Ovis aries: one gene and its partners. The protein of the gene in region 1 interacts with the protein of each later gene in a pairwise test. Links are inferred from orthologs where the notes say so. Each region holds a gene or a part of one and is shown on either strand. Other genes may lie near its edges. The genes, in order: GABARAPL2, RETREG1 and FUNDC1.

The links.
Region 2: the proteins of GABARAPL2 (region 1) and RETREG1 interact in binary tests that used the Homo sapiens proteins (3 or more experiments, as listed by UniProt). The link is inferred for Ovis aries from reciprocal best matches to the Homo sapiens genes GABARAPL2 and RETREG1.
Region 3: the proteins of GABARAPL2 (region 1) and FUNDC1 interact in binary tests that used the Homo sapiens proteins (3 or more experiments, as listed by UniProt). The two-hybrid records come from large-scale screens. The link is inferred for Ovis aries from reciprocal best matches to the Homo sapiens genes GABARAPL2 and FUNDC1.

What each region holds. Positions count from the first base shown.
Region 1 is NC_056067.1:2,348,192-2,358,286, reverse strand, and holds the start of GABARAPL2 (gamma-aminobutyric acid receptor-associated protein-like 2), read right to left. Parts: upstream 4,865-10,095; 5' UTR 4,768-4,864; coding exon 4,734-4,767; intron 4,409-4,733; coding exon 4,353-4,408; intron 3,225-4,352; coding exon 3,052-3,224; intron 1-3,051. Other genes in the region: TMEM231 (transmembrane protein 231), read left to right, coding at 9,318-9,456, 9,564-9,733. UniProt on the Homo sapiens protein: Ubiquitin-like modifier involved in intra-Golgi traffic. Modulates intra-Golgi transport through coupling between NSF activity and SNAREs activation. It first stimulates the ATPase activity of NSF which in turn stimulates the association with GOSR1.
Region 2 is NC_056069.1:56,687,151-56,697,245, reverse strand, and holds the start of RETREG1 (reticulophagy regulator 1), read right to left. Parts: upstream 5,583-10,095; 5' UTR 5,561-5,582; coding exon 5,253-5,560; intron 1-5,252. UniProt on the Homo sapiens protein: Endoplasmic reticulum (ER)-anchored autophagy regulator which mediates ER delivery into lysosomes through sequestration into autophagosomes.
Region 3 is NC_056080.1:43,690,286-43,700,380, forward strand, and holds the start of FUNDC1 (FUN14 domain-containing protein 1), read right to left. Parts: upstream 6,209-10,095; 5' UTR 6,187-6,208; coding exon 6,159-6,186; intron 5,454-6,158; coding exon 5,297-5,453; intron 1,809-5,296; coding exon 1,733-1,808; intron 1-1,732. UniProt on the Homo sapiens protein: Integral mitochondrial outer-membrane protein that mediates the formation of mitochondria-associated endoplasmic reticulum membranes (MAMs).

The DNA of each region.
Region 1 (10,095 bases):
CAACGTAACATTCCCAAATTACAACATCTTCAGTTCAGTTCGGTTCAGTCGCTCAGTCATGCCCGACTCTTTGCGACCCCATGAACTGCAGCACACCAGGCCTCCCTGTCCATCACCAACTCTCGGAGTTTAACCAAACTCATGTGCATCGAGTCCGTGATGCCATCCAGCCATCTCACCCTCTCTTGTCCCCTTCTCCTCCTGCCCCCAATCCCTCCCAGCATCAGGGTCTTTTCCAATGAGTCAACTCTTCACATGAGGTGGCCAAAGTATTGGATATTATTTAATTTAATAATATACCCCAGTTTCTATTTTAAACAAGGGATTAATAAGACTCTTATCTGTGCTCTAAACAAAGACCACAAGGTAGGCCCCACTGCCAGGTCTGGGTTCCCCACTAAAGCTTTGACTGGAAAGCTTATACAATAATGATATTCTTTCTCAAGTCCTGTCTGCACCAAGACACGGTTTTCCTTTTGTTTCCAGCCTGATTCTAGATGCAGGCACCTAGGCAGAGAATTCAACTTTCCAATGCTAAATGGGAAAAGGCAGTTGAGATCTCCCCTTTCTTAAAAAAAAAAAAAAAAAAAACTCAGAAAGGATTTAAAATGTACAATGTACAATTCTTATGGACTTGCTTCTGTCTGTATTTCTAGAGTCAGTATTAACACTGACTACTCAAACAATAATCACACTATTTTACAGGATGGTCGCCTGTGTCCCGGAACACTCAAGCCCACCCTAAGGCAAGAATAATGAAGTTGCTTTTGCTCAGCCTCAGACATACGCAATCCTTGTGTAGATATGCTTGTTATGGGATGGGGGAGGGCTCATCCTTTCTCAACTGTGATTTCCCCAGCCACTCTCCAAAGGCTGCAAACACTGGCTAATGGTTAAAGGAGGCTCCACGCTTCCCTAAGGAGGCTGGAAAGTGCTAAGGAAGAAGCTCCTACTGCCTTGGGGAGGAAGTGATGAAGCTGAGTCAAAACTGTAGCTTTAGGAGGAGACTGCCAATCTTGTCTGTGCAGGAATCAGGTGATCAGCCCAAGGATGTCACATGCCTCTTTTGTTTATAAGCAAACTTGTTTTGAAGACTAAAACCCCCAAACAAAGAACTGCTGCCTTAAATGTGGGCCAGGAAGTCATTAACTGGAGCCAAAGGCGCTGAAGGATCTGGGTGGAGGGGCTGGTTAGTGTGCCTTGGGTCACCACTGTAACCTGTTTTAAGGAGGATTCTTACCAGGTTGGAAAAGCAAATAAAACTTAAGAGAGAAAGCAGCCTCTGCTACCCTGAGAATCACTTTTCATTTCCAATTCTACTGGAGGAGAGGCATTAGTTAAAATCTGCAGCCATTGTAATTGCTACATTAACATAATCTTAATGTCTCCAGAAGCCTGCTTCATTTCTTCAAAAAGTATCAGAAGATCAGGATCAAGGAAAACAAAACTCAAGGCTACAGGTCCTACTCACAAACTTTTTCCCACCCAGAAGCCAACTCTGGGAAGGAGAACACACAGGGCCGCCAAGGGGCTGCACAAGCTGCAGGTGGCATGAAGACTGATTTACCTCCACCTCCCCACCACCTGCAAGGAAACGGAACATGACCGCAGATGCCCAGGGCTTCCCTAGCCTCCCCTGGAGAAGAATGCACCCAGCACCACAGTGCCCAGAGGCCTGGAAGGAAGGCCGAGAGCCCAGCGGGGTGACAAGATGACCCCTGGCAACACCACAGCTTCCTAAGCTCGAGCTGTAAGCAGGCCATGGCGCCCTTTAGGCAGAGCCTGGCCTTTCTCCTCAGGCAGAGCCTTGGCCTAATGGAAGGCAGACCTTCCATTCGCCCCTGCTGCTACTGCTGCTGCTAAGTCGCTTCAGTCATGTCCGACTCTATACGACCCCATAGATGGCAGCCCACCAGGCTCCCCCGTCCCTGGGATTCTCCAGGCAAGAACACTGGAGTGGGTTGCCATTTCCTTCTCCAATGCGTGAAAGTGAAATCCCTCAGTCGTGTTCGACCCTCAGCGACCTCACAGACTGCAGCCCACCAGGCTCCTCCGTCCATGGGATTTTCCACGCAATCCTCTGCCAAACATCAGGAAGCAGAAGTGTCAGAGAATGGGAAAGAGAAAACCTTAAAAATAGCCAAAGTTATTCCATTCGTAGGAAATGGGACTAGAATTTGGCTTAGGCCTTTCTTGGAGTTTTCAAGGATTTTCAAAAGAAGCATATTTTGGCTACACTGGGCTAGTTCCCAGGGCTTCTTAAAGCCTTAGCATCAGAAGTACTACTTTTGGGGGGATAACAAAATGAAACTCAGGAGGAAGGGAGCCAGCATCTGGCTCTGTTACTCAAATCAGTAACAGAAAAGAACTGACCAGGGGTACAGATTGAGCCAGAAAATTCTCCTCTCTCCACAGGAGACTAAAGCTAGGCTGTCGCCTACCTTGAAGAGAACTGTAATGCCCCTGCCTCAATTCAGGCCCCAAATATCCCAAAGACTGCTTCCAGGCAGCACAACCGCAAGAACAAGAGGGCAGCTACTGACAGAGCAAAGGGAGGTGTAAGTCTGTAAAGAGCCGTCTCCGGGTACCTGAGGCTCAGGCAGCGGACTCTCACAGTGGCCAGGACTGAGCCTGGAGAGCGAGCGAGCAGGCAGGGTGCTTAACTGAAGCTGAGCTTCAGCAGGGCCCACAGGCTCCTGGGGAAGAACGACAGGACTTATTTCATGGATCATTTGGAAAAAAACCTCATTTCAGGCTTCAGTTCTACTGATGGCTTAAGCCTAAGTAAGTCCCGAACTATTAAAAAGGATTCTTGGGTATCTGAGGCTGATTTCATCTTTTTTTTAAAAAAAGTCCAGGCCTTGCTCTGTTTTCTTAACCCAAAGTACACACACATCTATTGCAGCCCTTTCTTGTTTTCCTTGAGCTCCTGATGTCAGGGAGCACAAAATTCAGATTTCTAATCAGGATCTCTAAAAGTTTTCAGACTTCCAAAGTTTTGAGTCCTGTAAGCAACCAAGCAGATGTCCAATACCAGTAAACACCCCTCACCTGGACTGTGGGACTGTCTTATCCACAAACAGGAAGATTGCCTTTTCAGAAGGAAGCTGGATCCTTTTCCTGATGATCCACATGAACTGAGCCACAGTGATGTCGGATGGAACCAGATACTTCCGTTTGTCAATGTCAACAATCTGAGAGCCTGAGACCTTTTCCACAATCACCTGCAAAAGCAAAGTGCGGTCATGACTGGACTGCGGACGCGGTGCCCTGGCTGCGCACTGCTGGAGTGCTGATCCACAGTGTGTGGGCAAGGAGGTGGGTGGGAAACGGCATAACATGAGCAAACATGCCCCTGGCGTAATACGCCACACACTCTGGAGATTAAGAATTGATATACATGTGTTACAGGCAACAGCAAGTGCTTTTCTGTGGTCAATTATTAATACAGTTCTCACCCCTGATCTCAGCATGCATAAGAGAAACACAGCTCTCACTACAAAGTTTTTCAATACTTTGGGCAGACTCAAGAATATCTGGTGAAGGGTTCCTCTACAGCCTCTTACTCCAGGGCCCCAGAATGTATCTGCCTTCACACTACAGGGGAATTAAGATCCCAAGGAACACAGGAAATGAGAAGGGACAGATCAATGGGGATGACTGGCAACTCCAGGCAGCCAAGGACCAAGCTCTTCACTTGGCCTGTTGCTTCTCTCTGAACTAAGTTTCAAATCTATCCCTCCTGCCTCTCCCCAAAGGAACTGTTCATAAGCAATAAACTACAATAACAGGCCTGGATGTCCTCAAAAATAAATAAGGGTTACAGAAATTATTTCCCCCATCAAGGGATAAATACAGGATAAGCATTATTGATCAGCAGCGGCTCAGACTTTTTTTTTTTTGGTCAGCAAAGGATGACAGGGTCAGGGTGAGAAAAGGGAACCAGAAGTCAGGTAAAGAGGAAGGCGCAAAGTTAAAGATGAATGTCCTGAGACTTAAGTACCACTTTCAAGATCAAAGTGAACGTCTCCCTCCACCACCATTCCCTAAAGTGGTTGTGACCTGTCGCCCTGTCCTAGAACATCATTTCTTACATAATTGGCTAGGGAGCCCAGAGGCTGCAGACAGCTCGCTGGCCTAGATCGCGAGGTTCAGCACCGAAGCAACCTGAACAGCATCCACTACAGCCCGTCAAGTCGCGCCCCTCGACGGCCCCTTACCCAGTGCGGCCCATCTGCCACCACAACCGTGACTGTAGTCTAAACTTGTCAACTGTTGAGCAGCCTGGGCCCCACCACCGGCCCTAGACGGCAGGGGTGACAGGGAGGCGAGGGGGCGGGGAATGCACTCACCGGAACCCGGTCGGGGTATTTCGCTCGGATCTTCGCAGATTCCACGCATCTGTGTTCTGAGGAAGAAACACACGGGGCTGACGGCCGCGCCTGCCCGCCGGCCGGCTCCCAGAACCCCGGCCCTCCTCCCTCTGGGACCTGCGCACGCCCCCGGTCTTCTTGAGCGTCCGGGCGGGCCCGGTCCTCGGGGCCCCGGCTCCAGCAGGGCCCGCAGCGGGCGGCCCGGGGCGTGTGGGCAACCGCCCTGGGGGCCAGGACCTCGGCCGCCCGAGCCCCAAGGGAAGCACCCGCCCCGCCCGGCCCAGCCTGGGGCGGCCCGAGTGGGGGAGGGGGCCCCCGCCGCCCCCGCCCCCACGGCCGGGCCAGCGGCCGAGCGCTCACCCAGCGAGTGGTCCTCCTTGAACATCCACTTCATGGCGGCGGCGAAGAAGGGACGCAGCCGGCTCTCGGAGCCGCGGAGCTCAGCGAACCAACCACAACAACAACGACGGCGGCAGCGGCGGTGACTACACGGCAGGCGGGACTTCCGGCTGCCGGAGCCTAGCAACCGGGAGGGGCGGGGCTTCCGGCGCGGCTCGCGGGACACCGCGTCAAGGGGCGGGGCCTCACGTCAAGGGGCGGGGCAGGAGAGGGGCGTAGAGGGGCTCTCGGCGGAGCGGGGAATAGAGTGGGCGACTGGGAGGTCTGTGAGGGATACTGATGACTGCGGAGCGGGTATTCGAGAGCTGGTAGCAGGCGTGGGGTCTCGGTGGACGTTAGTAAAGGGAAGAGGTGAGCAGGTCCGGCCGACAGGATAGAGTCCTTACAGGAGTCTGTTCAATAGACAAGTCTGACTGGGGCGTTGGTGACAAGAGGGCAATTTTGTAGGTTTCAGTGACAGAAGAGGTTGCTCTGGTGGCCTGTGACGGCAAGGGGTCTAGTTAGGGCTTTGACACTTTGGGGAGGTTTCTTTGGAGTGACTGCAGGTTCAGGGCTCAGTCTGAGGGATGTGACTGGTTTGAGGGGACTGTGTGGAGAGGGGTACTGATGACAACGCGGGAGTTCAGTACTGAGGACAATCATAATTGTTGCGTTGGACCTAGGAATTGGGATTTGAAACAAATCCCAGCTCCTTCCCTTATTCACGAATAAATGAATAAACGTTTAAGAAAAGTTATATTAACTATGCATTTGGGGAGTGTAACACCACACTGATCACAAAGAGACCATTTAACCTTAATTGCCAGAGGAGTTAGAGGTGACTGACTGTCAGACCCAGAGAATTCCCCTGATACCCAGTCATGAAGTGGGTTTCTTTGGCATTCAGCATCACAACCTAAGGGGTGTGTGTGTGTGTGTGTGTGTGTGTCCTGCCTTCAGGTTCTCCAGTGACTATTCCTTTCTTCCTCCAAGACTCACCAGGGCAGTGTGCTCTGGTTCATCCCTCTGTTTATGAGCTGGTGAATATGTAAGAAGATATTCACTTAATTGGGCATGTGATCCTTGCCACGTGCTTGCGATTCTGATGCATCTGAAAGGCTTGTATGTTTGAATATTGTCATTTATCATTTCCTAAGTTGAAATTCCTGATGGATGCTGTGGAATATAGCTTCATTCTAGAAGTATTTCTTGTTATTTTAACATTAACCTTAATTGCCAGAGGAGTTAGAGGTGACTGATTGTCGGACTGTTTTTTATGAAAAATCCTTTGAATTTCATGCCTGGAAATTTTTGTTGTTGCATGAAAGAGCACTGTTCTAAGTGTTGGTGAAAAGCAGCAAACAGAACAGACAATACTTCCACTCTTACGGAGTTTGCATTCTAGTGGGACAAAATGAAAAAAAATATGTTGGGTAATGATAGGTGCTGTTTAGAAAAATAAAGCATACTTGGTAACTAGTGAGTCACCATGATGGTGGGAGTGAATGCTAATTAGATAAAGTGGTTGACATATTTCTGGGAATACGAAGGAGTCCCATGTGACTGGAGCTGAATATATAAGAAGGTGTGCATTAGGAAGTGAGACCAAAGAGATCTAGAAAAGTGGGTTGAGCTTTGAATTCCATTTGAAGAACTTTAGATTTTATTTAGAATGGAATGAGAAGGCAGTGGAGGGTTATAAGCAAAAGTGTGACATGATATGACTTTCCTAGCTTCTGTGTAGACAGTAGATTATAGGGGGTTGAGGATGGAAGTAAGGGAACAGTTAAGAGGCTATTGTGATAATCCAGGTATAAGATGATGTTGGTTTAACCCAAGATAGTATCTGTGGAGGTGATGGGAAGCAGCTGTGTTCTAGATACATTTTGAAGGTAGATCCAACAAAATTTGCTGATCAATCGAATATGATTCGTGAGGAACAAGTCTAAGTCAGGGTTTTGGAATAATTGAGTGGTCATTTACTGGAACAGGGTGGAGCCAGAGGGGTGGGGTATGCAAATCAAGAGTTTGGTTTTGAATATAGCCTGGTGGCTCAGAGGTTAAAGCGTCTGCCTCCAATGCAGGAGAACCGGGTTCGATCCCTGGGTTGGGAAGATCCTCTGGAGAAGGAAATGGCAAACCACTCCAATATTCTTGCCTGGAGAAGCCCATGGACTGAGGAGCCTGGTGGGCTGCAGTCCTCCTGCAGTCTGCAAGGAGATCCAACCCGTCCATCCTAAAGCAGATCAGTCCTGGGTGTTCATTGGAAGGACTGGTGTTGAAGCTGAAACTCCAATAGTCTGGCCACCTGATGTGAAGAGCTGACTCATTTGAAAAGACCCTGATGCTGGGAAAGATAGAAGGCAGGAGAAGGGTATGACAGAAGATGAGATAGTTGGATGGCATCACTGACTCAACGGACAAGAGTTTGGGTAAACTCCGGGAGTTGGTGATAGACAGGGAGGCCTGGTGTACTGCACTCCATGGGGTCACAAAGAGTCGGACATGACTGAGTGACTGAACTAAACTGACAGAAGAGAGTGAGTATAAAAATGAAAATAACCTATTTTGCAAATAGAATTAAACACTAAGGAATGAAGATGGTTGTCAACCCTCTGATAGTGAATCAGTGAAGAAGTTAAAAATTGGGCCAAAGACCCCTGCTTCCCTTTACAGAGCTGGTCATTGTGTCCTAGTTCAAAGTATGTGTACACCATCTTACACCTGGAAGAACTTAGTATGCTTCTTAGTGGAGAGATTCGAAGCAACTTACAAGCATGTTTGTCACCTGATGGTCTCGAGGTGCAATGTCTGTCTTCTATCATAACCTACCTTTTTTTTTTTTATTTTTTTTGCCACATCGCACGGCAAGCAGGAATCTTAGTTTTTAGTCCCCCACCCCACCCCCAGGGATCCAACCCATGCCCAGTTCACTAGAAGCGCAGAGTCCTAACCCCTGAACCACCAGGGACTTCCCTTTACCTACCTTCCTGATGTCTTTTTCCAGTTCACCATTCTAATTGGTTTCTCTGGCTGATGACATTGTCATCTCGGACTGTGATAAGGGCATTGTATAGTTTTCCCATATGGGCACGTCTTGACCTCTCTTCTTTGCTAGGATCTCAGCTGTTCTCTTCATCGAAAACCCAATTCTAGGTTATAATAACTAAACTTATCATGGTAATCATTTTGAAATGTATAGAAATACTGAATCACTATATTGTATAACAGGAACTAACCTAATGTTGTGGTCAATTATACTTCAAAAACGAACTCATTAAAAAGAGATCAGGTTTGTGATTACCCGAGGCAAGGTGGAGGGAGGGGAAAGTTGGATGAAGTCAGTCAGAAGATACAAACTTCCAGTTATAAGATAAATGAGTACTAGGGAGGTAATGTACAACATGATAAATATAATTAACACTACTTTATTTTGTAGATGAAAGAGTAAATGCTAAGAGTTGTCATCACAGGGGAAAATTTTTTTCTATTTCCTTAATTTGTAATCTATATGAGATGAGAGATGTTCAACAAATTTATTGTGGTAATCATTTCATGATGCATGTAACTCAAATCATTATGTTGTACACCTTAAACTTATACAGTGCTATATGTCAATTATACCTCAATAAATCTAGGAGAAAACCCCACTTCTAGGTTGCCTTCAAAATAGGAGTATTTATGAGTGGATCTCATTCTGAGCACAAACTTCACACTAACTCGGCACTGCAATGTGATCCTTTAGGGCCTTTTGATGGAGAACTTGGCTATTGACTACTTAAAAAAAAAAAATTTCTTCTGCCATGTTTGAAATACTAGAAAGCAGATGGGATGGGACGGTGGAAGCATTCAATTAAGTGTTCAGTTCAGTCGCTCAGTTGTGTCCGACTCTTTGCGACCCCATGGACTGCAGCACGCCAGGCTTCCCTGTGTAACTTTATCTTTGAGGAGGACCACGGCTTCTCCTAAAATAAGTAGCATAAAGCTTGTTCCCAATCAAGATAGCAAAGTATAGCAGAGCTATACAATAATTATCTTTTTTTTTCCCCTCGAACAGCAGGGAGATAGGTCTGTTTCCGTGTCTGCCCTGCTATGGAGTATAGTGAAAGCGATAGAAAATTTGGAAACAAAGGGACCTGGTTTGGTCTTAACCCAGGACCAAGTGTCTAGGACCACGGCCACTTTTTTTTGTTTGCCTCCAACGTACGGTGTGCTGTGATTGGTTAGACTTAAGTGTACAATAAACCACATTGGGGATTAATAGATTTGACTATTAATAAATAGTCAACATTTATGAAAAAACCTTATTTTACAAAATTGTTAACAACGGCCACGGTTTGGGCGCACGGAAACACCCTTTGGGAACGCGCAAGCAGTGTGCGACCACAGTGTACTTGCGGGCCCCGCCCCGTTGGCCACGCCCCCACGGAAAGCCCGCCTGCTCGCTATTGGTCGCTCTCCCTGGGCCGTCGGTTGCCGTGGAGACCACGGCTATGGCAACCAGGAGAAGCCATACTAGGTCGAGGCTCCGGAACTGCCGAGGGAACAAGACCCCGAGTGCTCCTCATGGCGCTCTATGAGCTCTACGCGCATCCAGTGGAGCGGGGCTACCGTGCCGGGCTCTGCTCCAAGGCGGCGCTCTTCCTGCTGTTGGCCGCCGCGCTCACGTACATCCCGCCGCTGCTGGTGGCCTTCCGGAGCCACGGTGAGTCTGCCCCCTCGCCCCGGCCGGTGCGCGCCCCGCAGCGCTACGTGGCTCCCGCGCCGCCTCCCTGACCCGGGTCTCTGCACCCCGCACTCTCGTTACCTCAGGGTTTTGGCTAAAACGGAGCAGTTACGAGGAGCAGCCAACCGTGCGCTTCCAGCACCAGGTGCTGCTCGTGGCCTTGCTAGGATCCGAGCCGGGCGGGTTCCTCGCCTGGAGCACGTTCCCCGCCTTCAACCGGCTGCAGGAGGGTCATCTGCGCGTCCCGCTTGTCTCGGTGAGTGCTTCCCGCCTGGGCCCGGCTGCGCAGACTGGGCTGCGGAGGGGATGGGCGGAGGGCGCGGCCTGACGGGAGGCTCCGGCCCCTGTCCCGGGGAACTCGGTGTGCGGCTGAAGGAGTCACGAACCCCAGACCCGAGCTTGTTTCCTTTCCTGGAGGCCTGTTTGTTGGTACATTCGGCTTCTCCAAGCCGTCCCCCACCCCGGGTAAGCTGGCTGCTACTGTCAGTGTCTCTGCTCTCTGCAGAGTCTCCAACCCCTGACAATTCCTGACATTTCGGCCTGGCCCTTCCTGAGGGAATGGTGGTCGCAGAGTTTGCTGTGTGAGTTGCGTTGTTGTTCATTCCCTAAGTCGTGTCC
Region 2 (10,095 bases), on another chromosome or scaffold:
GGGATTCTCAAGGCAAGAACACTGGAGTGGGTTGCCACTTCCTTCTCTGATGCATGAAAGTGAAAAGTAACAGTGAAGTCGCTCAGTCGTATCCGACTCTTAGCGACCCCATGGACTGCAGCCTACCAGGCTCCTCCATCCATGGGATTTTCCAGGCAAGAGTACTGGAGTGGGGTGCCATTGCCTTCTCCGAAGAGGCAGACTAGTCAGCAAAAATGAGAAACAAGCCACTGATAAACACAATAGGGATGAATCTCAAAGCTTTATGCTGGGTAAGCAAAGCCAGGCGCAAAAGACATCATATTATAAGGTATCATTTACGAGAAACTTTAGGGAAGACAAATCTAATCTACAGTGAGAGAAACCAGATCAGTCCCTGGGATGGGTGTGGATGGGAAAGGAACTCAAAGTAACCTTTAAGAGAGATGAAATGTTCTAGATCTTGATTGCCATTTTCATTCCACAGGTGTTTACACTTGGCTGTTCCCTCAGAATGTGTGTGTTTTTATTGACAGTATACTGCAAGAAGTTATTTAAAAACAAAAGCAAATGGGGCATTTTCTGTTTCACTGGGTTCATTCTATTTGATGGTGTACTTAAAACTGGTGTCACTGGTTGCCTCTGGGAAGAAACAGGCAGTCAAGGACAGGCGTGGGAAAGACAGCTAATTTCATACTTTTAAACTTCTGAACTATGAGGCAGTATTAGCCATTTTTAAATCCATAAAATTTAAGATAAGAAAAAGAATTTATAAACATGTCCCTCATTGGAAAAGTGAGAGAGACCCAGCCCTATGACTACTGGACTGTTGCCCAGTCTATTTCACGTTGTGGAAACCCTGCTTCTTGAGACAGGAACTATATGGTCTGCATTGTACTAAACTCCTCTGAGCTCTGAGTAAATAACAATTGTTTAAAGCATTCTTTAGGAGTTTAGTATTTGTCAAAAACACATCAAAGATAAGAATGTGCACACACAACCACAGTTTTAAAATAATTATAACTTGAACATCAGGTAACTACCACCACCGAGGTCAAAAAACAGAACACTGCCTACACTCCAGAACCTTTCATGTGCCTTCTGTGATTAAACCTTCTCCCTCTACTCTTGATTTTACAGATAAGAACGTCTTTTACCTATATATCCCTAATCAATACTGTTCAGGTTTGGACATCTTAAAACTTTCAAAAAACTGAATCATTCTGTACATGTTATTAAAGGCGCTTTTCTTCCCCAAATTGCATTTGTAAAATTTATCTACATTGTTGCCTATAGCTCTAGTTTATTGCTCTATGGAAAGAATTTTATGGTAAGAATAAATGAATAAATCACAATTTACCTGCCCACTAAAATATTCCTGAGCACTTACACAAGGCATCTTGGGGTCTCCATTGCCTATGGAAAAAACAGATCCTCGAGGCAACCACTGCCCCCAGGTGGGTCTCCAAAACACCTAGCCAGTCTCATCTCCCCTACTTTTCTCCACTACCTCATGTGGCACTGCACCAGTTGAATATATGGTGGAAACATTAAGTACGATTCCTTAGGCCTGGAGGGTTGTCCACCATGCACTGGATCTACCCAAATCATTCCTCTCCGTCAAAATCTGATTCAAGCATGGGGTCTCCTTAAGAAGACCCCACAGTCTCATCTATCCAGGATGCCACCTGCCCAACAAAAAGCTGTATTAAAATGAATGATTCCTTCTTTGACCCTTCACCACACTCATGCCATTCAGCCTTGAGTAATACCCAGACCGTCATGCCCGTCTCAGCTTTGTCCTTCCAAGACACAGCACTAAAATCTTGCAAAAAATGGGCAGATAATAAATGTTAGAGCTTTTGAACTCAAACTCAAAATCCTGAGAGCTACTGCTGGTAACAGGTACTGCTGCTAAGTCGCTTCAGTCGTGTCCGACTCTGTGCGACCCCATAGACGGCAGCCCACCAGGCTCCCCCGTCCCTGGGATTCTCCAGGCAAGAACACTGGAGTGGGTTGCCATTTCCTTCTCCAATGCATGAAAGTGAAAAGTGAAAGAGAAGTCGCTCAGTCGTGTCTGACTCTTAGGGACCCCATGGACTGCAGCCCACCAGGCTCCTCCATCCATGGGATTTTCCAGGCAAGAGTACTGGAGTGGGATGCCATTGCCTTCTCTGGGTACCAGATACTAAACAGTCAAAAATATGTATTTAAAAAGTTAATTTTCACAAAAATAACATCAGTGAAAGTGAAATCATCATGATTGCTTCATACAAATTTGGGTTCTTCATGCTTCTAACACTGATTTTTTATTAAAAAAAAAAAGAGCTTTATGTTATGCCATATACTTAATTATACTTTGCCAACTACATGATCTACTCTTTAGACATAGTACTTCAGTTTATGAAACCACTCTTATGTTTTGTCATCTAAGTTTTATTTGATTTTCACTTTTATAAATAAAACATTAGTGAGCATAAAAATACAGAGTTTTAGAGTTCTTGGGACACAGAATGTCAGTGCCACATAATTTAAGATAGCTTGATAAGAGGTACATTATCTAGAGAAGACAAAGTCCTTGAAAGAATATTTCAACCTAGGAGCAACAATGGGGAAAACTACAGCATTTTAATGAAATTAATAAATGGGTCAGAAATTCCAATTAACAAGTGCTTCAAATTTAAAAAGCAGGACAGTCATTTTTCTGTCCATGAAAATATACATATAGGATTGTAAATTCTCCAAAAAGGAGAAATAAAACAGATAAACAGAAAACCTATGGCCATTGTTTGCCTTGCTATCATACTTATTAAAAAATATATGGATGGAAGACATCATTTCCAAATAAAATTAAATATGCCTTTCAATTATTTAATGCAAAAATCATTATTTTCAGTAGACATTAAAAATATATCACAGGAAAAATGTTTGCAACTCATGTTACAGAAATTAGGCTAAAGTTATTAATATAAAGAGAGTTCTAACAACTCAGTAGGAAAAGCCTAATGACTCAATTAAAAATATGGATAAAAGTTTTCTGTAAACAGATAATGCATAGAAAAGATAATTATAATGGTTCCTGAACATAATAAAAAATACTCAAGCTCTGCTGCTGCCAAGTCACTTCAATTGCGTCCGACTTTGTGTGACCCCATAGACAGCAGCCCACCAGGCTCCCCCGTCCCTGGGATTCTCCAGGCAAGAACATCGGAGTGGGTTGCCATTTCCTTCTCCAATGCATGAAAGTGAAAAGTGAAAGTGAAGTCGCTCAGTTGTGTCTGACTCTTCGTGATCCCATGGACTGCAGCTTACCAGGCTCCTCCGCCCATGGGATTCCAGGCAAGAGTACTGGAGTGGGGTGCCATTGCCTTCTCGATGCTCAAGCTCAGAGAAATGCAAAACCATAAAACCATACTGGATAGCCTTTTTTACCTATCAGATTTACCAATCAAAATGTTTGATAAAATGCTGTTGGCAAGGGTATAAAAAGAAATAGGCAGTCACATGCATTGTTGCTAGCAGCATAAATTGGTAACACTCCAAGGAAGTATAATAATACAATGACAGCCATCAAAACTACAAGGACGAACCCCCTCTGACCCAACAATTTCATTTCTGGGACTTCCTCCTACGGCAATACTTGCTTACATGCAAAATAATGCATGTTCAGACCCTTAACTATAATGCTGTCATAGCAAAAGTTTGGAAAGAATCTTATTCTGTCAGTAGGAGACAGGTTAATCTGTGACATCCGTACAGTGGGATTCAGCTGATCACAAGAAAGTGATCGCCAAAGTGCGCTAAGAAGAAATACAGCCCAGATAGTAGTCCACAATTTGCAGAGAATATTTTGTATTTGTTGAAATATGCACTATCTGGAAAGATACACAGGAAACTGGTAACATTGGTTGCTTCTGGTAGGAAAGTAGGTAGCCAGAGAGAGGCATGGGAAAGACATTTACAGACTGTTTAACTTTTTGTACCTTAAACTTGTGAACTCTGAGGCTATTAGCTATTTTTTTAATAAATAAAGTTTAAATTAAGAATTTTAAAAACATGTTCCTCATTGGTAAAATGAGAGAGACACAGCCCTATGACTATTGTTGCCCAATTTAGCATCATACATATATCTTCCTGATTTTGAGTGTTCACTATAACTTCATAACAGGTTAGAGAAATACGAAATAAGCTCTAGAAACAATGATAGCTAAGAGACCCAAAGTAAGGTTAATTCACACTCGGGGGCTCTATGAAGAAACAGTTTGTTTCAAGACAAGATCAGTCTGGCACAGATCTGCAGAAAAACATTATGGTTAAACGAGCTGACTGAGGAAGTGGCAGGTCGTGTATGTTTTGTTCGTTTATTTATTTCCTAACTTTATTAAGGTTAAGAATTCAATGTCCTGTGGCAAGGTATGGGTCACTGAAGCTCTGCTTATTCTGCACAGTGTCGGTCATGCTTGTTATGAGAACACAGGTGCAAACAAAGAAGCTTTTTCTCCACCTCCTTAGACTGGTAATAGATGACCAGGCAGGGGCTTCAGTGAAGGAGCCAGACGTTTCCCCGTCTTTAGGGCGAAGGGCGCTTTTGTAAGAGACAAACCTGTTGATCAGGGGCTTTTCAGAGAACATTCTTGGGTAGTCTCTTTATTCTTCAGCTAAAAATAAGACTGTTTTCTACACTATGCACACCTGGGGGGCGGGGTGATGTCCATAATCCACCTGTCTGCCTCCTGTTTTCTTCTCGGGGAGTAGAGACAGTACACCCAAGCCTCCGGGTGGGATAGAAAAACAAATCACTCGGTGCCCGTCTCAGCTGGCTGACGGCGATGGCTCAGTCTTGAGCGTGTGCCCAAGCTGGTCCAGATATGCCCTCTCTGGGGACAAGAACGGACACAGGTTCAAGTGCGTGTGGTCCGGCGGGCTTTGGGCGAGCAGGTCACGACCTGCGAGTTTCAGAAAGCCAAAGGTCCAGTGCGCTCGGGGGCACACCTGCCGGTCCAGGTGCGTGCGGGGTCAGCCCATCGTCTCGCTCGCGAGGCTGGGCTACCCCCACGGAGGATGCCAGCTGCTTACAGGGGGAGGTGCATCTGGAGGAAAGTTGGGAGTGGGCCAGGGCGGACACCTTCCTCCGCAGGGTCCGCCGTGCACCGCCCCCCACCCCCCCATATCGAGCCCCCGGGCGCGCCCTCCGTCCGCTCCCGGGCGCCCCAAGGGCACCTGCCCGCACCCCCTGCCCCTGGCCCCCCGCCCCACCCATCCCGAGCTCTCACCAGAACACCAGGTTGGCCCCGACGAAGGCGAGCAGGCTGTGCAGCGGCCTCTTCCAGCTCAGGAGCTCGTCGGCGCGGCTGCCCAGCCACAGCGCCGGCTCCCCCAGCAGCCAGGTCACCACGGCGGCCACCCCGCCCGCGGCCTCCTCCACCTGCCGGCCCGCGCCCGCCGCCGCCCCTTCCTCCGGGGGCGCGGCCCCCTCCGGCTCCTCGGGGGGAGCCCGGGGCGGCGGCTGCGGCGCCTGCGGGGCGGCGGCGGGAGCCGGGGCTCCCTGCTCGGCGGGCTCCGGGGGCGCCGGGCTCGCCATCTTCGGCGGCGCGGGCGGGGACGGGCTCGGGCGCGCGCGCGCGCCTCGGTGTCGCGCGGAGAGGGCGGCGGGTCCCCGCGCGGGGCGCGCACCGCGGGGCGCCGGCGGCTGGGTGCCTTGTGACGTCAGCGTCGGCCGCGGCGGGGCGCCTCCCGGGGGAAGTGGGCGCGGCCGGGTTGGCGCGGGGCTGGGCGGGGCCGGGCGGCGTCCCCGGGGGAGCGGGGGCGCTCAAGCGGGGCCGCCGGAACGTGATCCCCGTTTCCCTTCCCAGCCTCCGTCCGCCCGCTTATCTAAAAGGGAGTCTCCGGGCCACCGGCGGAAGCAGTTGGCAGTCCTCACTTTCTCCGGCCGGGGCCTCCGATCGCCCATCCTGCAGCCTTAGAGCGCATAATGGGGCGCCCCTGAGCCTGGCCGCGTGTTTCAGCCCCTAGTTCCCCGTCCCGCATCCCCACCGAGTGCCCTTGCAGGGGCAGATTGCACCTCCATAGCCGAAATCTTCAGGACTCTTAAGAACAACGTGATGATTTAAAGGCTGGATTGAGAAAGGAAAGGGCCCGGGAGGAGGGGGGTGGGGGGCGAAACATTTTGGGTCCATTCGGAAGCACGTGGCCCTCTGGTTTTACAAATTAGGAACCGCCAGGCCACCGCGTTGTGGCAGGGGGCTTCCTCCCTCCGACTTGTGGACAAAGTCACCTGGCTCCAAAATGCACGCTGGTCTATGGAGGGCACAGGTGAGCGGGGAGCTGAGATGCAGGATCGCTTGGGTGTGTTACACAGGTTAGGCCAGAGTCACTGTGGTCACAGCAGTCATCAGGACAGGGGTCAGGTGCTGTGACGGGGTGACCAGGAGTTCTGAGATCTCTCAGACCTGGCCTCACTGGCCCTGGTGCTTCTGAATGATTGGGGGGGGAGGGGGCAGCGGCTGGGATGAAAGGTAAACTTTCAAATAGGTTCACTTTTCCCTATTTGCATTTTCTAAATGTTCTCTTCCTTCATCCCCATTGTCACTTTCCTCTAGAATAAAATGTTCCTTCCCTTTGCAGAGCATTCTACTTTGATGAATCAAAGCATCTTATATCTTCTTGGAGTTTACTACTGGCAACCAGCTTCTTTCACAGGATGGATGGGGCTCATTCTCAGAGCTATTTAAAGCCTGTTTCCAGGGAGCCTCTGGAGAATGTTCTAGAGTGTTCATCTGGGGGTTATTATATATGTTTATACCTCAGTGTACACATACGAAGAAATTCACTGACGTACATTACAAGTGTATGCACTTCCCTGTGTGTATGTTATACCTCAAAAGGGTGTAAGCCTAATTTACTTAGAGGTTTACTGACCACCTACTGTGTACCCAACCCCTTGCTCAGCTCTGTGGGTATGGCTTCCACCCACAGGAAGCTCACAGTCCAAGGAAGGGCCAGTGACAATTGTGATCACTGCCGTGATGGAAATGATCACTCAGGGCTAAGAGTCCTTACTTCAGTCATGTGTCCAAAATTAGGGACAAGTGGAGGAGTCAGGTTTCCGGGAGCTTTTTGGAATAGAGGTTGTCTGTCCTGAACTGTAAGCAGGAGGGCAGCAAAGGAATATTCATTGGAAGGACTGATGCTGAAGCTGAATCTCCAATGCTTTGGCCACCTGATGTGAAGAACCGACTTATTGGAAAAGACCCTGATGCTGGAAAAGATTGAAGGCAGGAGGAGAAGGGGACGACAGAGGATGAGATGGTTGGACGGCATCACCAACACGATGGATATGAATTTGAGTAGCACTTGGAGTTGGTGATGGACAAGGAAACCTGGCTTGCCACAATCCATGGGGTCACAAAGAGTCAGACACAACTGAGCGATTGAACTGGGCAGTAAAGGCAGGATAGGGTAGGGAAGAGGAGGCAATCATGTCTGTCAGGAGATCAACACAAGCGAAGTTGGGGACTTACAGGTGGAGGTCATGGTTCCTTGTGTGTATCTGCAGCAGATCGCTTCAACTGATCCACTAGTGGAAGGAAGTTTGGTTTTTGACCTGCCGGCAACGCAGAGTCTCATGTTTCTGGCTTGTCTGTGAGTAGATTCATGACAACCCAATACAGTAACCAGGGAGGCGTGAAAAAGCAATATGGAAACAGTTCTGGTGTTTTTACCACGAAAGAAGAAACAGTCTTTCCCTGGGGCTTCCCTGGTGGCTCAGTGGTAAAGAATCCACCTGCCAATGCAAAAGACGCAGGTTTGATCCCTGGGTGGGGAAGATCCCCTGGAGAAGGCAATGGCAACCCACTCCAGTATTCTTGCCTGGAGAATACCATGGACAGAGTATCCCAGTGGGCATGAGGTCACAAAAGAGTCAGATACGACTTAACGACTAAACGACAATTTTTCCCTGAGTGTTGTGCACTCTCTTAGCATTGGTGCAGGAGCTTTTGAAAGATAAAGGATGCTTTATTGTGTCATCTGGCCTTTGCTTAGCAAAGGACTGAGACAGCCCAAGGGTTGCCCTAGACTCTGCAACTGGAGGGAGGAATTGAGAAACCTGATATCCCCATTTTCCAAACCAGGGTGATGTGCTTCTAGAAACATGTCTGCAAGATCCTACACATTCCTCTTCTCCCTGGAATTTAATTACTGTCATCAGGATATGCTGAAGTAGTAAAAGCTGTTGACAGCCAAGACACATAGAAGCTCAACTTCAGTTGCTACGTGTGGGTTGCAACGCTTACCTCCGCTTATTGATAAAGCTCCCTCCTCACACCTCTGTGAAATCTTTCCTTCTCTCTTAAAATGCCACACAGCTGGAGTAAGTGCTGTCATCTGTCTTTTTCACCTCTGACCTCTAATGATTACTAGCAAATAATGTCACAGGAGCAGATGCTGGCCTAGACACATAACTGGGTGCTACTGAGTGTTTTTGTCTGATTAACTTTGCGATGTGTGAATAATGTATTCAGTGCTAAGACTGCATCAAAATAATATTAATGATGCTTAAAACTTGTCCCCTCATCTCTACAACATGTCACATTTAAAACTCCTGTGAGTAACCTTATGGTTTAAGATTCTTCTGAATTTTGCATCACCATGTATGGGGAACAGAGTGATTCACACTAATGAGGTAGACAATTTGAAAATATAGATCCAAGGAAAGCAAGGAGACTGGGGATATGTCAGAGGGAAAAAAAAGAAGAGTGCGAGACAAAGAAAATAGTTGTAGCCACTGAATCTAAGTGACAGTTTAGAAAATAACCAGTCAGGCAAAGAAAGCCAAAATACACACAAGAACTCTTAAAAGAGGTCACTCACCTTTCTCTTCCAAAAGTAGCTAGAAAGTTTGTAATAGGAGAAAAAAGCAATGAATAATTAATTCCTACTCTAGGAGGCCACATAGGCAACCTCAAGCTAAAGCCTTAGGACGAGAGGGAAATGCCTCCATATTTTCTTCCCCTAAAATGTTTCATGTTAGACTCCTAGGTCCTTACATGAAGGAGCTGTGTACCCATGTTGTGTTGTATTGGTCTGGCAGATAGATGTTTGTGTGCTGATAATTTTGTTAAGCTTTGTTAATTTGGTGAAGTTCCAATACATTGGCTACTTAATGTGAAGAGCCAACTCATTGAAAAAGACCCAGAGGCTGAGAAAGATCGAAGACAAAAGGAGAAAAGGGTGGCAGAGAATGAGATGGTTAAATGAGATGGTTAGATAGGATTACCGATGGAATGAATGTGAATTTGAGCACACTCCGGGAGATACCTCCGGGGAAACCTGGTGTGCTGCAATCCATGGGGTCACAAAAAGAGTCAGACGTGACTTAGTGACTGAACAAGATCAACAAGAGAGCCTGATAGATCACACTGAGCAGAGAGAAGTAGGAACACCACACCACGGCAGTGACAACAGAGGGAACGGAAAGGAAGATTGTGCCTGGTTTCCAAGGCCCAAGTCGCAAAAGGAATTGGCTTTCTGTTCGGGATTGACTGTTGTGCTTATAAGAACTGGAATATCCAAACCAGACTAACCTAATTTGACAAGGATTCTGTAAGGGGGATGCTTACCAGAAATGAACTCTAGCATGGTGGCCAACCACACCAAGTTGGGGTACTCAGTGTTAGGTATCATTCCCTAATAATATACAAAAGAGCTTTTGCAAGTCTTCAGGAGGGTTTGTTGAAGGGACCTGGGGTCACACTGCAGGAGTGAATATCCTGGAAAGGTACTCTTTTATCCACCCACAGGCACACACATCAACACAGACAGCAGCAGCAGCAATGATTTCAGAGCATTAACTGTCAACCCCTTCCCACGGGCCCAGCAGTTACACTCACCTCAGTGGAATGGCCACCCTTCTGGTCCTATTGAAGGAGTTCACCAAGAGGAAGTGACCTCTAATTGACACTCAAACTGGACCCAGGTGATTGGAGGCACCGCATCCCCTCCTCTGTCCTGGGATGTATGTTCTGCCCACTGTTCCCACAGCGGGAGCGGTCCCGAGGACACGGCCGTGAGAGACAGGTGTGATGTTGAGATCATTCGAGTGGTCAGTGTGAGTGA
Region 3 (10,095 bases), on another chromosome or scaffold:
GACATTAACTTACAGAATCCAGAAGCTCAGTGAACTCCAGGTAATGATCTAACACAATTATGAAATAACAATACTCAGATGATGTGGGGGTTGGGGCACACAGAAATTCAATAAATGATAGCTAAATTCCCACATTCCATAATGGGAAGCCAACAGTTAATACCTCAAACTGAAAGATAAAGAAATAGCCAATTAATTTGGTTAGGAAAAAGGAAATAAATACCTTAGGAATCAGCTAATAGTTCAAACTGGTTGCCTCAAGAGAGGAAAAATGGGGAGGTAGAGGGAGGCAGAGGATTATTCTAATCTGTATTGAGCATTACACATGTACTTGACCCTCTGAATTATAGGCATGTACAACTTTAAAAAAAAAACCCTGAATTTAAAAGATTAATATACCAACTGTCTATTTTTTAAGATTGCAGTGTGATAAATATATACTGGAAAACACCTGAGCTTTAAATATAAGTAAAGGTAATAAAAATATGGCAGCAAGACTAAATAAAAGGTAATTAGCCTAAAAGCCGTTTGTTTCTTTGTCTTTGTTTCCTTCTATTGAGCTTTCAAGTCAGTCATATTTGTGGGAAAAACTGGTTTGATGCGGAGAGGTTCCGTCTTCTACTCAGGGACTTCAAACATTACGTGGACTAAACATGAAGTAGAAGGTGACAATCATAAAACATGGGTTTGAAGGGACTGAAATGGACTTCTGATCAATGACATGCAGAGTAGACTGAAATATATAATTCCATCTGTGAATATCCCAGGGAACTCTGCTTTGGTAGAGTATCTTTTTCCATCTTTTGAAACTTGAGTTTTCAAAACAGCTATAAAATTAACTATCTTGATTCTAGATAACTATACAAATAACTTAATTCTTGGTTCTATATAAACCAAAGTCAAAAATCTGCTTAAATAAAATTCTTTGTACAAATACTGGCATATTCCTCCAAAGGACTAAATTTAGAATATGAATAATTATTTATTTTTACCTTTTACAAGAGATAAGCAATTACTCTTAATAATACCATCAATAGAAAAATATGTATATATAAAATTTTAAAACTGTTTAGTAAACAACTGAAAATCTGTGCTTAATACATATGAATTCAGTCCTTCTGTACATCAAGCAATGACACTGGTTATTACATGATCAATGGCTAGGTGCTGAAGTCAGATTTTGGTTGCTATGACCATCAATCATTTTCAAAACCTGACAGATTTCTGTATCTTCAAAATTGTTGCTAACACACATTCCCAGAGATTTTTCAAGTTTAGGATTTATTATATTTGATCTTCAGGGAATGATATTTTGGGGAAAATATATGCCAAACAGACATGAATGCCAGATAATATCCTGATAAACCACCTCTAAGAGCAAAGCATTTTTGAACCTTATACTTAGAGGAACATAAACAGGACTAAAATTTCAAATCAACTTGCCTCAGAAATAGGATTATGAATTATTTTTTAAGACCAATTTTTCACTTTTTATATTATTATGGTTTCCTAGTTTTAAAAAACATGTTAGAAATTGCTAACAGCAATTTCCTCTGGGAAGGAAAAATGACTAGGAAACAGGGAAGGAAAGAGACTTTTTGATTTTCATATATTGCGTACGAATGTGTGTGAACTTTAAATATATGTTTTAAATTATCAGTATGAACAGGTTATACTATTGATGAAATGTTTATTTGTTAAGCAGAGGCAAGGACTGAAAGCTCTGACATACCTGAAGGAGAAGAAAGCCACCACCTACTGCAGTTGCTGCAAGTTTTCCAACTTTCTGGAACAAAAATCCCGCACACCTTTAGTGGAAGAAATGGCAAAGGATGAAGACAATCAATGATGTATTAAACTCTCTCTCTTCTAGTTTTCATTACTTTCCTAATAAAATCTTAACGTCTTCCCAGTTCTTTTGACCATGTTCCTCACCTGCTCAGAAACCCTCAATGTTTCCTTTCAGTTATACAGACTAGTCAAAACTGCACAGTCTAAACTGTCTGAGATGTGCTTCAAAATAAGGGATGAAGAGAAGGGAACTGACAGGGGAAAGACTGGCTACTGAAACTGAATGTGAGTACTCAAGGGTTCATTATACTCTTCCTTCTACAGTTGTATTAAGTTGTATTAAGTTGTATTGAAATTCCTCATAACAAAATGCTTAGTTTTATGGGGCTTTTTTTTTAAAAATATAGTCAAGATGTTCCACATATCTGGCCAACTCTCACTCTAGCCAAACCTTCTACTCCAATCCAATCAGTTTCCAAACAGGTCACCACTCTTGCTCAAGGTATTAATCCCCGTTTCTCGGGGTTTCTACCTCGCTCCACCTATCTAAAACTTTTCTACCCGTTAAGGTCCAGTAAGAGGTCCATCTTCACGACTATACTTTGGCCCACATTTCTCATGGCTCCCTTTTCTATTTCTATCTCTATATTAAACCTGTTTTGTCTCATCTATCCTGTAAGGATGTTAACCCATACTTTTTTGATTCTCTCCTTCAGTGAGTTCATTATTCCCTTCAGCAGTCCAGATCCAATGTGCAAAGGAATCTCAGATTTCCAACTCCGGCCTTCTGTACTGGGTTGAATTGTGTCACCCCTGAAATCTATGACCTTCCTACAACCTCAGAATGTGACCTTATTCGGAGTAAATTCATTGCAAAAGCAGTTAATTCAGATGAGGTTATACTAGAGTAGGGTGGGCCCCAAATTCAATATGTCAGAGAGACACACAGAAGGAAGACAGCCATGTAATGGCAGAGGCAAAATTGAGAAGATTTCCTAGAGGAGGAAATGGCAACCCACTCCAGTATTCTTGCCTGGAAACCCCCATGGACAAGAGGAGACTGGTAGGCTACAGTCCATGGGGTCATGAAGAGTTGGACATGACTTAGCAACTGAGCACCCATGTCTGCAAGTCAAGGAGTGTCAGGGATTGTTGGCAACCACCAGAAGATGGGAGAGAAACGTAACAAATTCTCCCTGAGCCTCCAAGAAGGAACCAACCCTGCTGACACTTTTCAAACTTCTAGTCTCCAGACCTGTGAGAGAATAAGTTTCTCTCATTTTAAGTTACCTAGCTATGGTGCTTTGTTATAACAGCCTGAGGAAACTAACACCCCTTCATAAATGGAAAATGTACGTTTCCAATTACATGACGAGCTTCTCTTGCCACCCAGAACCACATATTCAAAATGTCCCAAAGCAAACACCATCTTTCCAACCAAACCACCTGTTTGCTAAAGTCCCAATTTCTAAGTGATAGCACTATTCTTGAGGCTTCTCACCTCATGTTCATCTCAGACTGCCTTCTTCATCGCCTCTGGGGTCCAAATGATGGCCAATTCTATACACCCAAGTTTCTCTAAAACATTTGATTGTCTTCTTTCCATCCTCAAAGGCATCGCTACCTTGCTTTCAGATCACACTAATGACCCTCTGGCTGATCTTCACACCTCCCATCTCACCTAGCAGCCACCCATTCTGCTGTCAGTTTTAGTTTTTTTTTAGGATCAAGAACATATAACTACCTACAGCTAAACATAATTTCCTCAGCTTCCCAATCAAGTCCTGAATTGGTCTGAATTGTTAACTAGCTAACATCTTATTAACCATTCCTCCTTAACATATGCCACAATAGGACATCAGTTTTATACTCTAAAAAAATTGCAAACGTTTATTACGCTGAATCTAAAGTCATTGCAACAAATCACCTGTATAATATTAGAGTCCTATTACACAGCTCCTGGATCAACACCTGGCTATAATCCAAACATATGTGTCCCTCAGTAGGGGAGACAGCAACAAAGACTCAGAAAAGGGAGCAAAGGAGCCAAGCAGCAACCAGGTCTTAACAGTATCCTGGGGACTGTGCTCCACAAGCATGTCTATCCTTTGCTTGAATGGTATGAGAAACTACAATCAATATACTAATGTCCTCTGTTCTGTCTCTAGGCTTTCCAAGCAAACTTCTTCCAATTATGGGGCTTCTCACCAAGTTTGGCCTACAAGGAGAAAACACACAATGATTTAATCCTACTGCTCAATTATTTTTTAGTCTCTTTCAAGATGGGGCTCTAGGCCTGGACTCACATTAACCAATCACCCAAGGCACCAGACTGTGAGCTTATTTAAGTAGAAGGCCAGGCCCTGAATTGTGGGCATCAAAGTATAACCAGCTTGAGAAGAATCATCTGAATAACCAGGGCTCTGACCAGGCAACTGCAGGCTTTTTTCATAAGCAGCACTAATAAGTACACATCATGAATAAATACTGTACCTGTTCATCACAGAATCTTCACAGTGAATGTCTCTACCATAAAATGGCATTTATTTTAAAAAGGCGTTAAAAAAAAAAAAGGCATAAAAGAGCACACCATTGTTCCAAGGTGCAAATAAAACACAAATTAAAACAAACACTTTATACTTATCGAGTTTAAATATGTAAATATTTAAATTAATGTAGGATGAATTTAACCTAGAATCTAAGAAGAAAAAATGATTACTCACAGGTTAAGCACACCCACTAGCTTCAGAAATTCCCTAGGGTCATGAACATTTTCAAAATAAAGGGTCAAACTTCTTTCTGACCCTTGTTATTTGGCTAATCTTTTGAGTCTAAGAATAACAGAATTAGATCTACAGTAGCAATTATATAATCACGTGACCTGAAATGTTAACTGGTGAGGTTAATACTATTAACCTCTCCCCCTTAATGTACTCCACAGTATTATCACTGAGTAATTCCAACAAAGACCCAATGTTCTACAACTCTCCTTCTTCAAAGTATTATCATAATTTAAATTGGCCCACAAAATTAACAGAACCATCTGTATCATAATCAGTAATTTTTACTGAGAATTTTACACTGCTTTGCACAGGGCTGATAACCCTGGAGATTAGTTTTACTGTGGGAGTTCTCACAGGGTTTTCAACCGAACAAGTACAAATTATTTACATATAATTAACTCTTCTCTTCTATATTTTTTCCTCTTTACCCACTGGTACTGAATCAGATCCACTACATCTGCTAAATCTGAGAAGGGGGGAAATATGCAAAAAAAAAAAAAAGGAAGGATGAGGAGGAGGATGATCACCAAAACCCAGCAGAATCTGAGTGTAGATTACACTAATCATATCACCGAGAAAAGTCTCAAGGTACAGCTCTTCTGGGATTAACACTGTAAAACCACTGACTGAGTATGTAGTTGGCCCAGATACAAAAGGGCAGCAGTCAGGCTCCCAGTGAAATTTAACAAAAAAAAAAAAAAAAAAAAAAAGGATGTTCTCACCAGCCACTCACTCCACCCATTACAATCTGGGTGGCTACCGAGTATTTTTCTACCATAGGTCCGGAACTGTGGCCAAACACGCGATTCCACCAGTGATGTCTTCTGGCATACTCAGTTAAATCCAACACTTCGTAGGAATCATCATCACTTTCATATTCTTGAAAGCAGAAAACGAAAGCAACACATTTTCAGTCAACTGAAAGTTAAAAATGTCGTGTACATTTTCATCTGTTAAAATTCATTGTTACATTGGCATACACCTAAAAACGCCCGGATGTAGACAGTTTCTTAAACCCAATCTCTGAGACTTAGGGCCTTGAGAGTAAAGGGCCTAGCATCCCCTTCCCAAAGAGCTAGACACAGGTCTGGGGGGGCGGGGCAACGTCAGTTACACAACTGAGCAGTTACACCCCTACCCCAAATCTCTGCAGGGGTGGCTCAGTTTCACAGCAGGGTCTCCCCCAATCTCGGTAGGTAGGTCAGTTTCACAGCATGAAGGGTCACCCCCAAATCTCAAGTTCAGGGTCAGTGCAGGGTCCATTTTCATCAGTGGGAGGAAAAGGGGGGTCTTCCACTGGCCGAACCGGTTAGAGGCCCAGCAAGAAGAAATGACTTCAACAGTAAGACTTAAACGTTAGAAGACGGATAGGAAGGGAGGTGAAGGTAAGACAGGTGGGGCCGTGTTGAGGGCGAGGGTCCAAGAGGGGGAGGGGAGGTCTAGTCTAAAAGAGGTGCTCAAAGAGGTTGCCTCAAGAAAACAGAGCCCCCAGGATCCCTGGGACAGAAGGAAGAGGCGAGCCTGAAGCAACGTCGAGAGCTGTGAGCTGCCTCTAACATACTACTTCGGGCCCCGGCCGCTCACCTTGGGGAGGGGGGTTCCGGGTCGCCATGATACCGCCGGCGGCCTGTACTGAGGCGGTCCCAACCCGCCCGCCTCTCGCCCCTACTTTAAAAACCGCTCTAGGCCCAGGTGGAAGTCTATGGTCTCTTTTTTATCTCCTCCTCCTTTTCCTCCAGGCGCACAGTCCTGTCCCCGCCCCCTCCTCTAAGCGCAGGGCCTTCCGCGCAAGCGCAGGGCAGAGGGGCGCGAGGAGGGGGGAGGGGGGAGACAGGTTGGATACCAGCCCGCAAGGATTTGTGGGAGTTGTAGTCAGTTGCCCTCCGCAACACTGGTTTCCCACCCCTCCCCCCCGAGAATTTCCAGAAGCTAACTTTTGATATTTTGTTTCAAAGGGCCTCACTGGAGGGGAGGGGGCGTCACATGGTGGTTAAACGAAAACCAGCTTGCTGTTTGTAACACGGTACCAGAAAGAGGCTTTTAAAAAGAGATAAGAGAAACCCTCTTTCGAACCACACTTTTCAAGCAGTCAAAGGCTCACTAACCGATGGAAAATTTTTCTAACGCGCTGCTGCTAGGAATTGGAACCTTTTCATCTTCTCCACGCGTTTCCTGCCAGGAACCTGAGGGAGGAAGAGGGAAGCCCAGAAAATGACCTGACACGAGTTACTCAAGAGGACATAATTTTTAAACATCATTTTTGTTATTTAAATCTGACAGAGGAACGAGGATAAGTTCTTCACCCAAGAAGCCTCACGGGATTCTGTTGAATGAGAAACCGTGTTGAAAACCAAGCGGCTGACTCAGGTTCACATAAACTGGCCCCGAAACTTGTTTTGAATTTACGTTGCACCCGCATTCGCTGTACATTTAGAACAACCCTATCAGTATTCTTATTCTGAGAATATGGAAATGAAGAAAAATAAGAAATCCTGGTAGAGGCTGCATTACTTAAAATATTAACTTACATAATTGTACTTGGCTTTTCAAGTCCTGGTGCTTTAAATGCAAGGGTTGATGTCTCTCAAGTTCCTCAGCTTGTGCACCTCAAAATACAATTCTAAGACTGGCTGGAAATATTAATCTTCACTTTGTGTGAGATTACTGTCGTGGGCCATGTGCGGATTGGAAAAGAATATCCAGCCAAGAGGCTGAATGAGAGATGAATAAAGTTTACTAGAGAGGGACACACGATTACAACACATGTCGGTTCAAGGGAGAGCCCAACCCGTTCGCAGGCTACCAGCCAATTTTTATGGTCTCAAGATAGAAAATTTCTACTAGAAGGATGGTATTAGGTTATTGGTTAGCATGCCATAGGGAGAAGGCAATGGCAAACCACTCCAGTACTCTTGCCTGGCAAATTCCATGGACAGAGGAGTCTGGTAGGCTGCAGTCCATGGGGTCGCTAGGAATCAGACATGACTGACAGACTTCACTTTCACTTTTCACTTTCATGCATTGGAGAAGGAAATGGCAACCCACTCCAGTATTCTTGCCTGGAGGATCCCAGGGACGGGGGAGCCTGGTGGGCTGCTGTCTACGGGGTCACACAGAGTTGGACACGACTGAAGCGACTCAGCAGCAGCAGCAGGATGCCATATGGGCTTCCCTTGTAGCTCACCTGGTAAAAAATCTGCCTGCAGTGTGGGAGGCTTGGGTTCAATCCCTGGGTTGGGAAGATGCTCTGGAGAAGGGAAAGGCTCCCCACTCCAGTATTCTGGCCTGGAGAATTCCATGGACTGTATAGTTCATGGGGTCGCAAAGAGTCCCACACAACTGAGCAACTTTCACTTTCACTTTAGGATGCTATAGGGTGGGTAATCCAGTAGGTATTTCACCTACTTCGGGTCAGAGAACTGGCTGGTTTAGATCTGGAGGCTCATGGCAACAGTTGCTATGGGCTTTGGTCAGTTCCAGAGATTTTTATTCTGTGGACTGTGAAGAAGGCTGAGCGCCGAAGAATTGATGCTTTTGAACTGTGGTGTTGGAGAAGACTCTTGAGAGTCCCTTGGACTGCAAGGAGATCCAACCAGTCCATTCTGAAGGGGATCAGCCCTGGGATTTCTCTGGAAGGAATGATGCTAAAGCTGAAACTCCAGTACTTTGGCCACCTCGTGCGAAGAGTTGACTCATTGGAAAAGACTCTGATGCTGGGAGGGATTGGGGGCAGGAGGAAAAGGGGACGACCGATGATGAGATGGCTGGATGGCATCACTGACTCGATGGACGTGAGTCTGAGTGAACTCCGGGAGTTGGTGATGGACAGGGAGGCCTGGTGTGCTGCGATTCATGGTGTCTCAAAGAGTCGGACACAACTGAGCGACTGAACTGAACTGAACTGAACTGAACTGAACCTTGGTGGAGGGCTCCATACCTGTGACCTTGGTATGAAAGTGAAAGTTGCTCAGTCATATCCGACTCTTTGCGACCATGAACTATACAGTTCATGGAATTCTCCAGGCCAGAGTACTGGAGTGGGGAGCCTTTCCCTTCTCCAGGGCATCTTCCCAACCCAGGGATCGAACCCACATCTCCCGAATTGCAGGCAGATTCTTTACCAGCTGAGCCACAAGGGAAGGTATAGGGCTCCACAATTACATGTTTTGGAAACAAAATAACTTTCAGGGACATAACTTCTGAGGTCGTCACTGAAATTTTTTCCAAGAGTTAACACTTTTGAGTTCATAAACGACTTCCTCCCCATTGCCTCCCCACTCCCAGTGAGGTGCTAACAGATAAGAGAAATAGCAAATGATGGGCCACTGAAAGAAGAGAGAAAAATTACAAATCAGAAGAGCAAAATTACAAATTGGAAGAGGATTGACTGGGCCAATGACATCTAAACACTTTGATCTACTTCTAGCACTATCTGCCAACTACAGAAAGAAGTCACTTTCCTGTCAAGGCAATGATATTTAGCATCAAATGATTATGGAGAAAAGAGGGAGAAAACGGAAACAAAACACTGCTCTTAAGATGCCAAAAAATGAACTTTTGAATCTAAAATGCATCCTAAACATGTCCAAAAATGAATTAAAGGCAATTATTTCTGTAGCGCACTTAAGGGTTGAGAAGGAACTTTTTAAACACTCTTCCTTTTGTTTTCTTACAGTGATATGCCCTTGCCATTACCTCAACCAAGTTAGTTGTATAATTTATTTTACTAGTGTGAGTCTTTTCTTTCCCAGTACCAAAAAAGCTGTTATTTTGTTGGCTCAGTGATGAATGGTTTAATGTTTAACAGACTCTAAAAGGTGCTACGATCCTCCTGATTTTTTAAATTAATTCCTATTTTGAATAGGTTTTCTTTTCAGTCAGCACTAATAAGCATTTTCACTGTGAATACTGGTGTCTTACCTACCCACTGTGAAGTGAAAGTGAAAGTCGATCAGTCGTGTCCATGGAATTCTCCAGGCCAGAATACTGGAGTGGGTAGCCTTTCCCTTCTCCAGGGGAAATTCCCAATCCAGGGATCGAACCCAGGTCTCCCACATTGCAGCAGGATTCTTCACCAGCTGAGCCACAAGGGAATCCCAAGAATACTGGAGTGGGTAGCCTGTCCCTTCTCCAGGGTATCTTCCCAACCCAGGAATTGAACCAGGGTCTCCTGCATTGCAGGCAGATTCTTTACCAACTGAGCTATCAGGGAAGCCCCTACCCACTGTACTAAAACATAATTCATGTAGCCTCCAGTTTTTCAATGGGTTCCAAAAGTTTATGAGTAACTTATTCAAAATAGAGAACAGTTTCTATTTAATCCATAATGAAACTGTCATAAAACTATTCCTTCCTGATCTCTACCTTTCCTTACTGTCTTTGGAAACCTTAAATGTTAAAACATAATTTAGTCAGAATTAAGAAAAGCAAAAAGCAGACATAAAAACAAACAGAAGAACAATTCACAGTCGCTGGGCAATCTAACCTCCCCCATTGGCTACAACTAATCCCAACCCAGTGG